2 linked regions of the Rattus norvegicus genome follow. The protein of the gene in region 1 interacts with the protein of each later gene in a pairwise test. Links are inferred from orthologs where the notes say so. Each region holds a gene or a part of one and is shown on either strand. Other genes may lie near its edges.

Evidence for each region. The genes of interacting proteins can lie anywhere in the genome.
Region 2: the proteins of Maged1 (region 1) and Rbfox1 interact in a two-hybrid assay, tested with the Homo sapiens proteins (2 studies listed by BioGRID and IntAct). The link is inferred for Rattus norvegicus from reciprocal best matches to the Homo sapiens genes MAGED1 and RBFOX1.

What each region holds. Positions count from the first base shown.
Region 1 is NC_086039.1:63,417,658-63,426,452, reverse strand, and holds the start of Maged1 (melanoma-associated antigen D1), read left to right. Parts: upstream 1-3,467; 5' UTR 3,468-3,568; intron 3,569-4,123; 5' UTR 4,124-4,152; coding exon 4,153-4,197; intron 4,198-4,894; coding exon 4,895-5,593; intron 5,594-6,144; coding exon 6,145-6,813; coding exon of another isoform or gene 6,814-6,844; intron 6,845-6,908; coding exon 6,909-6,972; intron 6,973-7,098; coding exon of another isoform or gene 7,099-7,125; coding exon 7,126-7,205; intron 7,206-7,354; coding exon 7,355-7,446; intron 7,447-7,662; coding exon 7,663-7,742; intron 7,743-7,833; coding exon 7,834-7,876; intron 7,877-8,021; coding exon 8,022-8,084; intron 8,085-8,390; coding exon 8,391-8,505; intron 8,506-8,795. UniProt on the Homo sapiens protein: Involved in the apoptotic response after nerve growth factor (NGF) binding in neuronal cells. Inhibits cell cycle progression, and facilitates NGFR-mediated apoptosis. May act as a regulator of the function of DLX family members.
Region 2 is NC_086028.1:8,784,747-8,791,966, reverse strand, and holds part of Rbfox1 (RNA binding protein fox-1 homolog 1), read left to right. Parts: intron 1-3,627; coding exon 3,628-3,771; intron 3,772-7,220. UniProt on the Homo sapiens protein: RNA-binding protein that regulates alternative splicing events by binding to 5'-UGCAUGU-3' elements. Regulates alternative splicing of tissue-specific exons and of differentially spliced exons during erythropoiesis.

The sequences.
Region 1 (8,795 bases):
AAATGTATGTAGAGACATTTTACTAAAAGGGAGATTTGGGTGTGAAATTATCACGCCGAAATATATTCAGTTAACCACCAAGTGAATGCACATTAAAATCATGGTGAGCTATTCCTACACACTGTTGCTAAAAATTCTAACTTCAGATGTCACGAAAGATTTGTAGAAATTAAAGCACTTATATGTGGCTAATGGAATGTAAAATGGTTCAGCCACTCTAGGAAAGATCTGTAGCTTCTTGTAAAGCTAACACACACTTACTATAAGCTCCAGATATTGCACTGTTGTACATTTAACTCAAAGAAATGTAAATCTGTTTACGTACACACAGACAAATGTTTAAAGAAAAAAAAAAAAAAAGGAGCTAGCCCGGCAGTTTTAGCCGATGTCAGTTCAGTTCCCAGCACCCACACCAGGTGGCACACAACCACCTCTGTAACTCCAGTTCCAGGGAACGCAACTCTCTTCTGGCATCCAAAAGACAGCACATATGTGGAGTACACACCGAGAGATAAACCCACATACACTTTGAGGGAAAGTTAGAAAGACGGTACTGCTCAGAGACAAACATCTGGACAAGAAATAAGAAAAATAGGGGAGCTCAGGGGTTTTAATTAAAACAACAACAAGGAAGCAGCCTATGTAGACTCATACCCACCCCTCAGACTCTCACCTCCCACTTTCCCCTCCTAGTCCCAAGGAAAGAACCTGTGACCCTGCCTCCTTCCAGCTTTTCCTATATTTTAGTCTTTTGTCCTTCGTGGGCAGCCAGTCCCTTGCTTTTCCCCCAAAATGAACTCAGCTAACACCAGGATCCCTGTTACAACATGAGCAAACAGAAGCAGAAAAGAACGTTAAGCATTTTTAAAGAATGACGCAGAAAAAGAGTTTTTTGATAAGATAAAACACGCAAAAACGCGTATGCTCCGGGTTCTTGTCAAATGATAAAAACATGACTCTTTGATCAAGCAGGGATTTCAACAGCACGGTAACAATGCACCTCTGATAGAACTGAAAGACGAATGTGGAGTATTAAGCCAAAGAGTGCAATGTAAAATATTTTCCACATGCATACTATCTAATTTATGTAAGAAGCTGTGTGCCTGTGCTTAAAAATGCTATATGAAAAGGTAGTATAAAAGCCTTAGCCACTGGTTCAAGGTGGTGAGGATTCAAAAATGATTACTTAACTTCAATAGCATTTAGATAACATTTCCAATCGTCAGTGATGCTTATAAACTGTTTCCATAGTAAATTATGTCTTTGTATATGACAAAAAAATAAGTGAATTTATCGGGCAAAAAAAATTTCCACTCAGGCTCCTCGTTTTAGCAATGGGGTAGATTGTGTGATTCATTCATTTATCAAACAATCTTTATTGAGAATATAAAATGTACTAGGCATTGTTCATCGTGCTGAAGGTACAACAATGAATAAATTAGGCAAACTCCACATCCCTAAAGGAGTTCCCAATCTCATGTGACAAAAAGAACAAAACTAAAGGAAACAGTGGTGAGGAGGATATGTGTGTGTGCCTGCGTGTGTGTGTGTGTGTGTGTGTGTGTGTGTGTGTGTGTATAAATTTGGAAATAATTTTGAGAATATCAAAAATATCCACCTGGAGAAGGGAGTGGGCAGCAGGGTACGAGTCTACGCGGTATAGGCTGGCCCATGACTGAAGATACAGACACAGAAGGAAGCAGATGATACATAAAATGGCACCTCAGACCTCCTTTCCCGAGTCTGATCACGTCCCACTGCAGACACTTTACAGAGGAAGTGCTGAGGAAAAACAGGCAGCTGACAGGGGAGGTTGCTATGCAACAGATGAGGGAAGTCATCCAGCCTGGCAGAATTGATGTTGGCCCTTGGGGACAGAATGCTGCGGTCCTTCCTAGCATTAGCTTGCTTTCATATGCAGGCTCCTGTCAGGAGCTGACGCCAGAATAAATGGGAAATGCGCTCAGATCTGCCTGGGGTTTCGGGAACGTATGGGTTTGGTTTGAGTCACCACATCTGTATGCCATTTTTCTGCGTTTGTTTCTCCAGCCATGTTGGCACAGCAGACTGTGTGTCCTTGGACACGACTCTCTTCCTGGGATTCCTATTTTGTGTAGTGAGTAAATTAGGCTCAGAGAGGTCCACTAAAGTGACCATGTCTCAGGGGCTCACACAGCCAGAGACAGATAGGCCAGACACTCATCTTGGAATTCTAAAGCCAAGCCCAGCTTCATTCCGCAAGAACAGGGCAGACACACCTGACTACCCTGGCTGCTCCAGCAGGCACCAAAAAAGCCCGCCGTCTCACTCCTGGAGACTGCCTGCCAAGAGGAGCACAGAGTGAACCTGAAGGGTTCCCACATACACCAGGCCTCCTAGAACACAAGCCTCATTCCCTTGGAACAAATATTGGGGAGAGGAAAGCTTGTTATTCCAATAGAGGATTAAGGAATGCCTCTATTCTCAGAGCAGATTTTCAGTCAGGATCATCCAGGCCCCACATGGATGTTTGTTTGTCTTTTAGATAAAGTCTCAGAGTTGCAAAGCTGGCCTAGAACTCGGTCTCCGGAGTGCTGGGATTACCAGTGTGTTTAAGCAAATATTGTCTTTTCTGTTTGTTACTAGCTCAATGCCCTGGTCCATACAGCGGGTTTACGTTTTAGCTACCTGACGTGTTAAATGAGAATGTTGACCTCCATCCATCTCCTGAGGCTGCCTGTGAGAAAACCAAGCTCCAGGACAGAGCCCACTGCCCTACGCCCTTCCCTCACCTCTCGGACCCACCCCTCACGAAATATTTCTTTGGCAAAAACTGCAAAAAGGGCGAGAGAAACGCTAATTTTCTGAGTCTCGTGAGAGGAAACCTATAGAATCCCCAGGCTGACCCTTGCCCTGGTAGCTCTGTCACGTTTTGTTTTTGTTTTTTTTTTTTTTTTTGCCCCTGCCTTTAAGGTTTCTGCATTGCAAAGTGCGTGAACTCAGCAGAGGCCTAGTTTGTGTCGAAATAAGAGACCCCCCGCAGAGGCCTACCTAAGAGGCTCTAAGCAAGTGGGTGGGAGGTAGTTGCGGACCTGGCTAGAGAGAGTTCGGGAAAAAGGGCGGGACTGAGAAGAGACGCATTGCGGATAAAGGTAGGGGGCTGGTGTGTTGGGCAAGGGGGTGGGACCAAAAGGCGCTGCGCATCTGTTGAAGGAGTGGATGCGTAAGGAGAAGGGGAGGAGGAACCTTTGTACACTGTCAACCTGGTTGGCGGTGGGATAGTGTGCTGGCAAAGAGGCGGGATCTCCTCCAAGTGCACATGCGCGACAAGGTCTCCAGGATGAAGCTTTTGTTGGGAAAGCAAGCGGGACTCTTATTTGGACAGTGATCTGTTGCGCATGCGCGGGGCTTCCTGAGGCGGTGGGTGGTATATTAGGCGAAGAGGCGGGGTCGCCCGAGCTGCCGCGCTGGCATTTTCTCCTGGACAAGGAGAGAGTGCGGGTGCAGAGAGCGGAGCAGAGCAGTCCCGATCCTCTGAGTCGTGAAGAAGGAAGCAACGAAGGGGGTTGGGGTTGGGGCCTGAGGCAAGGTGAGACCCGCCCCCGGACTGGGCATCTGCCCCCCTGGTGTGGCGCCCTTCCCCCATTCTTTTATCCCAATCCCCTTTCCCTGAATTCAGAAACCCCCTCCTCTGCCTTACCCCGGACTTACACCTCGCTCCCGACCCTTTCTAATTCGAACTCCCGTTCATTCCCTGAATCTTTATCCAATTCCTTCACTGAATCCTATTTCCCGACCTTGATCCGTTATACGATTCCTCTAGATTCAAAGCCTTAATTCAACTTTACAGACGCGAACCTCTCCCCGCTAACCGCCCCCCCCCCCGCCCCTGTAAACTACCGCATTCAGAGCGCTTATCTGATTCCAAACCGCGGATTTGAAGCTTTTACCTGTCAGCTTCTGGAAATTTTAGATTGTCTATCGGGACGACCATTTACTTTTCCCGCTTCAGTTAGGCCTGTTTCTCCCCGTACCCAGCACCTCACCCGCCCCCATAATCAAACCACACGCGCACACACAATTCGGTCCTACGTATTTTCCTTCTGTAGTATAATGCCTAGTTCCTCTCCCACACCCCCCTCAGGCTCTGCTCTTGCCAGAGAGACAAGAGCTATGGCTCAGAAACCGGACGGCGGTGCAGGCCTCCGCGGCTTCCAGGTGAGAACCCCGCTCCCAATTCCTCCATTTTCCTTGCTGACAGATTACGCCCACCCCTGGCCCCTCAGGTCGCGCAAATGGCAGGATCTGATTTTGCCCTTCTTCCGGCCTAGACTCCGCGGGCTCTCAAATTTCTAGCGTTTATCGAATAGGGGGGAGGGGCGGCCCTTTTCAGCCATCGGTCCCTGCTTAGAGAAAGGGGAGACCCTGTTAGTCAGGGCATTCTGCCCAGAGAATGCGGGTTGGGTAAGGAACCATTTTTTTTCCATAACCCTGACGCGTGTAGAGCAGTCTGTCGCCCCATCCCCCAACCTCTCGCCTCCACCCTCCCTTTCTCCACGCCGCGAGACTCCCCCTCCACCCTCCTCTGTTTATCCTCCTCAATTCCTCCGTCCTCAGGTCTTGAGCTCCCCACGGCAAGCCTCACGAGTCTGTCTCTAAACCCATTCGGGGTTCAGTGCTTGCACCACATTCCGCACCAGCCCCTGCTGCCTCCGACTGTCCCTCACCTTGCCCTGCCCCCTCTACCTTTAATTAAATTTTGTTCCCGCCCCGCCTCCCTTTGACCCGCCTCTGCCCCCATGTCTGAGTACTGTAACGCCTGTCTACAGTTCCCCTGCTGCGTTGCGCCGTGCCCCTCCTTCAGGTCTGGCTTGTAAGGCCCAGAGATTAAAATTTCCCCCTCCTGTATTTGCAGGCAGAGGCCTCTGTAGAAGACAGCGCCTTGCTTGTGCAGACCTTGATGGAAGCCATCCAGATCTCCGAGGCTCCGCCCACCAGCCAGGCCACAGCAGCTGCCAGTGGGCCGAATGCTAGTCCCCAGAGTTCACAGCCCCCAACTGCCAATGAGAAGGCTGATACTGAGGTTTCAGCAGCTGCTGCCAGGCCTAAGACAGGCTTTAAGGCCCAGAATACCACCACAAAGGGGCCAAATGATTACTCTCAGGCACGTAATGCCAAGGAGATGCCCAAGAATCAGCCTAAGGTGGCCTTTAAGTCACAGAATGCCACCTCTAAAGGTCCACATGCTGCCTCTGATTTTTCCCATGCAGCATCCACAGGCAAATCAGCAGCTAAAAAGTCTGAAATGGCCTTTAAGGGTCAGAATACCACTACTAAGGCTGGCCCCAGTGCCACCTACAATTTCACTCAGTCTCCCAGTGCCAATGAGATGACCAACAACCAGCCTAAGACAGCTAAGGCTTGGAATGACACCACTAAGATCCCTGGAGCTGATGCCCAGACCCAGAATGTAAACCAGGCCAAAATGGCTGACGTAGGGACCAGTGCAGGTATCTCTGAAACTGACGGTGCAGCAGCCCAGACCTCAGCAGATGGCTCCCAGGCTCAGAATGTGGAGTCCCGGACTATAATTCGGGGCAAGAGGACCCGCAAGGTGAGATCCCTGCTGGCTTCCCTTTGCTTTGAGGTCTCTCCTTTCTTTGAATTTCCTTTGCTCCAAACAAAATAAAGGGCACATATATATCTCTATTTTGGCAAAGTTGTAGGGGGAGCTGAAATAAATATTTATTCCTGACCCCCGGTTGTCCACAGATTAATGATGAGTTGATACAAGGACACAGGCAGTATGTGTGCAGACCGTCTTACATTTGACAGTAAACACCATGTCTTAAGCTAGGCAGGCTCACCCAGAATTATCATTAGATTTTGAAGATCCACCTCACAAGCAAGAGAGACCACAGTCAGGGAGAAATGAGTTCAGGGTGAAACCAAGCAGTGCACAGGAAAGGGAGAAACCCCGGGCTCCACTTTGTGTTTTTCTTTCTCTGGTTTGGAGATGAAATGCTTTCCTGAAAGACAGTGAGGAACCAAGTGGCTAATGGCTAGTGAGGTATAGGTGAGGATTCCTAGGGACTTCCTAGGATAGCTACTGGGGGTGCCAGGATTAATAGTGACCCTGAAATTTTCTTCTCTCTAATGATACAGATTAATAACTTGAATGTGGAAGAGAACAGCAATGGGGACCAAAGGCGTGCCTCGCTGGCTTCCGGGAACTGGAGGTCTGCTCCGGTTCCAGTAACCACTCAGAACCCACCTGGCGCACCCCCTAATGTGCTGTGGCAGACACCACTGGCTTGGCAGAACCCATCAGGCTGGCAAAACCAGACAGCCAGGCAGACCCCACCAGCACGTCAGAGTCCCCCAGCTAGGCAGACACCATCAGCTTGGCAGAACCCCGTTGCATGGCAGAATCCAGTGATCTGGCCTAACCCAGTGATCTGGCAGAATCCAGTGATCTGGCCAAACCCCATTGTCTGGCCTGGCCCAATTGTCTGGCCAAACCCAATGGCCTGGCAGAGTACACCTGGATGGCAGAGCCCACCCAGTTGGCAGGCTCCACCTAGTTGGCAGAGCCCTCAAGATTGGCAAGGCCCTCCAGATTGGCAGTTACCACCTGACTGGTCAATGCCTCCTGACTGGTCCTTTCCCTCTGACTGGCCTTTTCCACCTGACTGGATCCCTGCCGACTGGCCAATTCCACCCGACTGGCAGAACTTACGACCCTCACCTAATCTGAGATCCTCCCCCAACTCTCGTGCCTCACAGAACCAGGGTCCTCCACAGCCCCGAGATGTGGCCCTTCTTCAGGAAAGAGTAAGTGCTATACCTCTCCACTTTGTTTACTGTGGTCCTTCCATTTGTAATCAACCAAGTGTTCTGCAAACCTAATTTGAATTATTTCCCCCCAGGCAAATAAGCTGGTCAAGTACTTGATGCTTAAAGACTACACGAAGGTGCCCATCAAGCGCTCAGGTAGGCCCTTCTCCTGACCCTGATGTCCTGTCCACTCCCTCCCATAGCTGATTCTACCTCTGAGGAGCCTGACCGGGCTGTCCTTACCAGGCCTGGCCAAGGGGCTGCTACTGTGCTCCAGCTCAGTCCTGGTGCTTCCCTTCTCTCCTACAGAAATGCTGAGAGATATCATCCGAGAATACACTGATGTTTATCCAGAAATCATTGAACGCGCATGCTTTGTCCTGGAGAAGGTAAAGAGCCACACCTGGGAAACTAGAATGACGGTCAAATTCTCCATTGTGTGAGATAACTACTGGAGTTGAGGACAAGGTTCACAGCGCTGTGACTGCCTGCCTATTGGCACGTTATGCTAAGTGCTGTCATTTGCTTGCTTCTGTAGAAATTTGGAATCCAGCTCAAGGAAATCGACAAAGAAGAGCATCTGTATATCCTCATCAGTACCCCTGAATCCCTGGCTGGCATACTGGGAACGTAAGATGGGAAAGGGGATGTGTTATGGCCTTCCTTGGTGATGCTTTTTGCCTAAGAGTTTCAGTATTCAGTCACATAGGAGGTCATGGGCAGAGTGGGGGCATAATGATCTCCACTGAGGAATACTGGAGAAGCTAAATTGGTAAGCTTGTGGGGTTTTTCGTGTAAACAGCTGCTGGGTGTGTATATATCTGTATTCTTTTTGTACTCCTCTAGGACCAAAGACACACCGAAGCTAGGCCTCCTCTTAGTGATTCTGGGCATTATCTTCATGAATGGCAACCGTGCCACTGAGGGTGAGTGACTGGACTTGGAGCTGGGGGTTGGCTGCAGTCTGATTTCCATGCTCACTTTCCATGCCTTCTCTCTTCTTGCCTCCTATTGCAGCCGTCCTCTGGGAAGCACTGCGCAAGATGGGACTACGTCCTGGGTACGACTGGGCTCCTTCATCTGAAGTATCCTTTAGCAGCAGGGGATGTCTTAAATTATGATGAGATTAGATAGGAAGACAGTCTGTAACTCTCTAGTTTTCTTCAGGCAGAATCTCTGATTGTCGTTTTCTTTTTCACCATCAGGGTCAGACATCCCCTCCTTGGCGATCTGAGGAAACTTCTTACTTACGAGTTTGTAAAGCAGAAGTAAGTGGTCCTTAGAATTCTGGCTCTGCTTGGTCTGCATCAGAAAAGGTTCTTTAAACGTGACTTACAGCACTCCTGTAGGTTCACAGAATTATCCAGAAGTGTTTACTGAAGACACGCTTTGAGGTGGAATGTTTTTACAGCATAGTTATTAGTAAAGCCTGTCCTCTTTTCTCATAGTACACATTCTCAGGAAAGAGTAGTAGTCCAAGATGATAAAAACCTGAAGCAGCAACTTTAGCACAGTATTATTTAGCATGTATTTTGTTGCAGACTGCCCATAAACACAGACTTTTTCCTCTTCAGATACCTGGACTACAGACGAGTGCCCAACAGCAACCCTCCTGAGTATGAGTTCCTCTGGGGCCTCCGCTCCTACCATGAGACTAGCAAGATGAAAGTGCTGAGATTCATTGCAGAGGTAATAGCGGAATCCATGGTAGCTTAATCGGGTTCAGTCCCCAGAACCTGCGTAAAAAGCTGGGAGGGAGGGGATGGTGCGTGTTTGCAGTCCAGTGCTGGGAGGTGGAAATAGGGGCTCACAGGGGCTCATGGGCTCACACTGGAGCCTGCTTGTTAAGAAACACTGTCTCAGATAATAAGGAGGATAGTACCTGAGGAACAACAAACAAGGTTGCCTTCTGTCCTTCCACATACTTGCACATGTATGTGCACACACATAGTAACACACAAGAAAAAGCAGTTTACAGA
Region 2 (7,220 bases), on another chromosome or scaffold:
AGGTACAGAGAAGGGCCGTGCATTCGATGGTAGCAGTATGAAGAAACAAGGAGCAGGTTAAGGTGTAATGATGCCAGTGACTTCACTTCCTTCCATGGCACTTCACCTTTCCGGGTGCTGCTCACTCCCAAACACAAAACGGTTACTTAGCAAGCCTGTAGCTCACCCATGCAGATGACATACCAAATCTAAACCCTAGCAGTCATAGAAAAGCACAGGACTGTCCCCGGTATGCTTTCCCTGAAGATTCTAAGAGACACGTGTAGAAAAGGCCCACTTAGGCCCCAAACAAAGTTGGAAGTACTCTTGTCAGTATATATGGTGGCCACTCCTTGATCTGAAGTGATAGCCACTTGTACCTACCCTCACATTTTGATCCTTGTCCTAAGCCTGGAGGGCATGGACTATCATTGTACTCTCATAGATGAGTAAACACTGGCACAGAGATGTAAAGGGCCCTGATCTGAATTATCCATTGGTTACAGTAGGATTGCATATTGCAGGGAGCAACTCCATAGCCCTGGTTGCCACGTAACTCATCACCTTGGGCACAGGCATGCTCGGCTTGGAATGCTCTCCTTTGCTTCTCTCTCTCATCCCATAGAGGCTCTATTCACTCCTTCTCACCAACCTATACAAATTTGGATTTCATTTTACTTATTTTCAGTAAAAAAAATTATTTCTGCCATAGGTATGCCTATATAACAATTTATGGGTATTTGTATAAATGTGTACACTACAAAATGATTAATCAAGCATTGTATGTTTTTATCAAAGGAAACACCACAAAGATTTCTCCAAAGTCCTGTTTGACTAGAGATGATTAATTTTAATTTTTACATGAGCAGCATAATGCTATTAATCATTTAATATGTTTAATCATAATCTCTGTAATTCCTAATTAGGTTTATTAAACTGAGCCATTCAGCAATTGTGCACAAATCCAAGTCTAAGTCCCTTTCCTGGGAGGAGGAGAAACTCATTTTAATTTTTTATTCACATAGCAATTTCCAATAGGGTGGGGAAAGTAGATTGGAAACGTGGGATCTTAGCTATTGATCGTGCCAACTTAGGGTCTTGTGGTAGGGCATTGAAACCTCTTAGTCTTTGGCAAGGTAGTAACATCATGGTTTAAAGGTGATTTTTTTTGTCATTGATGTGGAACCCAATGTGCTGTTACTAGGAAAAACAAAAAACAAAAGCAAAACACAGTGAATAGTCTGTGTGGGTCTCTGGGTTATGGAATGATGGTGTGTGTGTGTGTGTGTGTGTGTGTGTGTGTGTGTATCATGCCATGATGTGCATGTGGAGATCGAAGGGCAGCTTCAAGTGTCAGATCATCTCTTGTTTGAGAAAGTCTCTCCTTATTGCTGTACAAACAAGACCAGCTGCCTGTGCACTTTCAAGAATAGTGCTGTATCCACCACCTATTTCACTGTAGGAATGCTGAGATCACATGCATGAACCACCATGCCCAGTTTTATGCAGGTTCTAGGAACACAAACTCAAGCCTCATGATTGTACGGCAAGCACGTCACCAAGTGGACCTCCGCCAGCCTCCATAGCTATTCATTAACTGGCACTCAAAGCTGACACCGGTGATGCTCGCCCCTGTATTTATTATTCATTTATTAGTGGTGCACCAATCTTTCATACTCTCAGTCTGTCACCGCATCAGCCAATCACTCAACATGCATTTAACATCTACGTAGCATGCCGGTCACAACTCAGTCCTCTTGTCATCTTTAAGTGGCTTCTAACAGCCACTTGCTTTTGTATACAAGGCTATTTTAGGTCTACAACTTCTACCTGCCTCTCAAGTTGCCTCTCTGCCCATCCTCTGTTTATTCTCTCTGGCTCTACATGGCCTCCCCAAGGTGGCAGACTTCTCCTTCCTTCTTTCTTTCTTCACACATGCATTGCCCTCTTCTGGCACAGAATCTGTCCCCTCCACCTCTCCTCGTACACATCTCTACTAAGCTAGAGTTGATGTGTCCTGGGACCTCCAGTGGCAAGTGCGACTTGAGCGTACTCAGCTTGCACCCCCACAATGTACTGCCTGCATTATATTTGGTTTTGTTTTCCTAACTCTTCCCACATCCTCTTCACATCTCAAGCAAAATAACATGGCTGTCAGGGTCGCCTTGTACTTGAAAATTGACAAAGGCGTCTGGTAGGGTTTCAGAGACCAAATCGGTTTAGATGGGTGGTGCACAAGGTGCCAGGAGGGCTCAACTTAAACATGTAATTCAGGGTGCAAGGGGAAGGAGGACGCCAATAAACTATTCTAGCCCACAGGAGAGCTGCAGAGAGACTGCTAATTATGCTCCTGTTATTTGGGTGTTCCTTTCACATTTCACTATGTAAGATTGTCTCCTCTAAGTCTCTATTATTTTACACCTGGCTGCCTGCACTGATAGTTTTTGTCCTAGTTATATGCCTCTAAATTGCTCATAAATAGATGAGGATGATTCCTTGCTCGTGAATTTCAGCTTTGGCAAAGACCCTCCAACAGTAGTTTTAAAGACATACTTAAGTGAACTGTGTCTACTGCCACCTACAGGCAGAATGTGCTAATTGCAGAGAAAGTACAGAAAAACAAAGTTCCCTAACCTTTCTTTTTTTTCTTTTTTTTTTTTTTTGGTTCTTTTTTTCGGAGCTGGGGACCTAACCCAGGACCTTGCGCTTCCTAGGCAAGCGCTCTACCACTGAGCTAAATCCCCAGCCCCTCCCTAACCTTTCTGAATGACGAACAGAAAGAAATAGCGGGCCAAGCTAGTAGCCTTACATCATCTGCATCGGCATAGCCTAGCAGAGCATTTGTACAGATGGCAATATTCTGTTTTTGCGTTTTTTTCTCCCAAACACAGGCACTACCTACGTGTGGCTACTGAGCATTTCAAATGCAAGAAATGCAAACTCCTTTATGCGTTATTTTGTGTCCATTCCTTGAAATGATCTCATAGGGTCCGTGGCAGTAGACAATATAGATTCGTACAATGAAGAAGCTAAGTTAACAAATATTTTTATAAAGTTGAGTGAATCATCTATTCACTGGATGAAGTACAGACCACCAAAGGGCCTTTGCAAATTTTTGACATTTATTAATATTTTACCTGTACAGCCTCAGTATTTTTGTATGCGTAGCATTAAGACTCTGGCCAGCACTGAGGGATACATGTTCTCATTTTTAATGATCTTTACTCCCTTTTTGATGAGTTTTCCACTACCCACCCTGAACCCCCAGCCCCTCATGCTTCCTTTATTTTTCCTACAATGCTTATCTCCTTCTTCCCAATTCTATATCTATTTATGAACGGTTTTTATCGTGCCTTGCCCCATGATCGTTGCACTGCATGACGCCAGGGGCTTTTGACTGCTTTGATTGATATGTAATCAAAGATTCATGTGTGGGCACTCAGTGGATGCTCAAAACAAACTCTTTTTTTGCTGTTAATTAAAATTTTAGAAAAAGGACCAAAAATCTCTGTCGGATAGCATCCTGCCATGTAGGAGAAAGGAGCAGGCTGTGGGAGCGAGCGCTTACGGACCGCATCCTGCCCTAAACGGGATGGGAGAGGATATTGGGACTTACTCAGCAACTTTTCTTTCTTCTTGTTCTTTTAGCAGACAGATGATGCCGCCCCGACCGACGGCCAGCCCCAGACACAACCTTCTGAAAACACAGAAAACAAGTCCCAGCCCAAGCGGCTGCATGTGTCCAACATCCCCTTCCGGTTCCGGGATCCAGACCTCCGACAAATGTTTGGCGTAAGTACTACCTTCATCCTCGGGTTTCCTCCTTGTGGGAGTTCTGAGAACTTATCATTCTAAGGTAGAATGTTGTTATGGGGTGAAGGCATTTTACATCTAAGTCCTGAGTTTAGAGTGGGAGGTCCCCTTAGGGGTGGCAGGATATGTTTATTTGTTTTAGTTGAGCTCATGGGGTTTCTGCTTTGACAATTGCTCGTCTTCTAATAAGTAACTTAAATGTCAAGCAGAAAATAGGCTCATCTATTAAGGATGATAAGGTCTATTGATGATCCCAAATCCAGCAGCCCAGGACCTCACTTTATAACTAAAATAAATGTTGAAGCCCTTTCCTGCTTACCCAGGAAAAGTAACCCAGGAGCGACTCTCTCCCAATTGTCCCCCAGGCACTGTACTGCAGCTGTGGTGAATGGCTAGTTCAGCATAAAGCTAGGTTTTCAAAATCAGCCACCCCCACCAACAACAAAACTACCAGTTTCTAAATCTGATTTGATTTTTGCATCATACCGTTTCCTGGATGAAACATCAAGGGTATTTAGTATGCAGCAAAGGGCAGCCTGGTCTAGGCACCATAGTGAAACAGAACTAGCCAGAAGCCACTGTTTACCCCAAGGAAATACATGACTGACGACTTTGCTTTCTCACAGGTCATCATGACCCTGAATATTTTTCTAGAAGATGTTTGAACAATCTACCCAGGGAAGGGAAGAGTTTATTATTTATTTAGTCTCTGCTGTGGCAAAGGACAAAGCTTTGACAAGGCTCAGATAATGTTTTGTGTTTCGAAATGTAGTCCTTCTGTTTATCCATGACATCCCAGTAGTGGTCATAAGCATCTGTGCCTTCAACCAAAGAACTACATCCTTAACATTTGACTCAGAACAAAGGTGGGCTGCCTGGAGACTCCTCTAAGAGTTTGTGGAGAGCTCTATGGCAAAAACAATAAAGAGGCCATGTCCATTGTGAGCAAAGTTCATATGATTCTCTGCATGAACAGGAAGCCCTGGTCTATAACTCAGGAGCTTCATGATTTGGGGAGATGAGCTTGGATCTTTTGTTTTTATTTCATTAACACACACACACACACACACACACACACACACACACACACACACACACACTGCTTATCAAGTATGCGTGTGACACAAAAGCAGAGCAGGCATCCTAATATTTAAGAGACCCAGGCTTGAGTCCTGACATTTCAGAGGAAAAGGTCAACTTTTGCACTTTTATCGCTCTCTCATTTAGTAATAACCTTGAGTTAAGCCCTCTAACTCTTGCAGAACGAAGATACCCTCGGGCACTCTCAGGTCAAAGATGACTTTGAAAAATGCAGAGCATTCGAAGTTAGAGTCGAGGTTAAGTGTGTGCAAAGCAGTGGGACCAGCTTGACTGATGGGTAGCTGCAGGAGTTATATTCTCTTTGCCATGTCAAGCCAGAGGGATGTCTTGCTATCCGGTCTGTCTTTATTCATCAAGTGTCACTGTGATGCTGGCTTTGAACTGTATCCTCTTAATGGCCACTCTCGAAATTCTTCATGGTGACATGCCAGGCAGCTAACCCCAGTTTCTCACCCTTAAGGGTCTATTTTCTTGCCTGGACTTTTTTGATTATCTTGAACTTTACCTGAGGCTACAGGGATAAGTCAGAGATGTCATCAAAATACTCACAGCTGGAAGTCATACAGAGGAGATGCTGCAAGTGTTAATGTCTGAATCTCTTTGTCCTTTAGGGTTAGGACAGATGGCCCAGAGGGAAAAAAAATCTGTCATGTGACATGCTACCTGGTCCAGATCCAGATCAAAATCTATTTGTTTCAAAAACAAGGGTTTTTTCTTCTTCTTCTTTTGAGTCAAAATTCTCATGCAGCTAGCTAACAAGATGTTCATTTGCTCTGATGATAGATATACCCTTAGCATCTGTCAGTTAAGGGAGTGCGGTATACGTTTATGAACACTGAAATTAATTCTACTTATCACAAACAACATCTGTGTCTATGTTAAAGAGTATGTGTGGAGTTTGTGTGGTGTGGGTTTCATCTATAAAAATCACTGGGCCATATGGTTTCTGGACCACTTGCAGTAGCTTGGGAGTCCTCTTTCAATTTTACAACTGCTATTTTAAAGAAATGGAATTTTCCTAACATGAATATGGGTGGTCACAAAGCCGTTCTATAATATGATACATTTAGCAGCATGAATCACACTGAGAGGCATCTGGAACATTCTGCTTGGCTCTCCATGGTGCAGTTTAGGGGACTCAACACAGTTTCCTCTTTCAGATCTTAGTTACTGTAAGCATCCATGGTTTAGTCCCAGTGAGCTTCCTCTGGCCATGAGACAGTGTCTCTCTTTTGCTTGCTATCTTTTGTTTTCTGCTCTCCTTGCTAGGGCAGGGTTGAGGATAATTAGAAAAAACTGCAATGATCCTTGTGCTTCCTGCCCCCATTGACTCTGTTGGTCCAAGGAAACACAGAAATTTCAATGTCAAAAACATAACAAGACACAAAGAACCCTCTTTCGAATTGCCTAGGACTTGGCTGTGCCCAGCTTCTCCCAGTGCAGAAACTCTCCCCTATGTTTTGCACAACAGTCACTTGCCTAATGGTTTCTACAGGTATCTCTTGGTTCAGTATGTGCTTTCTGGGCCTCTCCAGTGAGATTGGTATCAGAGGTGATTCTCTTCATTGCTCTTTTCCCCTTGTTCACCGCCATCTTTGTCAGGGAGGGGTACTTCTTCTGAGGTTGCCCTTACATTGTGCTTCACGTTACATTTCCTGGCACGCTGGTATATTCATTCCTTGGGGGAAATGGATGTGTTACAAGGTATAAGATAGTGTCTCAAGTAATTTCATATCATCCATAGCGGTATGAGTGGATGGGGCTAGTGTGGTTGTTCAGATCACTTGTTCTAGATGTTTCTGTGGGATCACTAAGTGACCTCAGGCCTCACTGTGAGTCTCTTGAGGTCTGCTGGAGCACATCCCTTCACATTTGCTTTCTTTCATTTGTTCTGCTTTATTTTGCTGGTTTTGGAGGTGAACTCTGACTCTGGATGAAAAACTGACTTCAAACTTGCTGAGTAGCACAGGTTGGCCCCAAACTCCATCTCCCTGCCTCATCCTCCAAAATATTGGGGATGCTAGCATACAACAGCATATTTAAACTTTTCTTGCCCTTAGATAGTGTTCAATAAGTATATTTTATTTAATACATCTTCTGACAAGCAGTTAGAGAATTTACAACCTTGACATTGGAGAAGATTTTGCCATTATCTATCCCCCAATTTAATATGTTAGCTCTCAGAGAGTCATGATTGGAGACATCAGTATTTCCATATTAAAGTTATACATTTGAATTCTTGATGTCATTAAAAACACTACATGGATTACAACCAATTTAATTATAATGTGTCACTCTTGAATGCAAAATACTTATTATAGATTAAC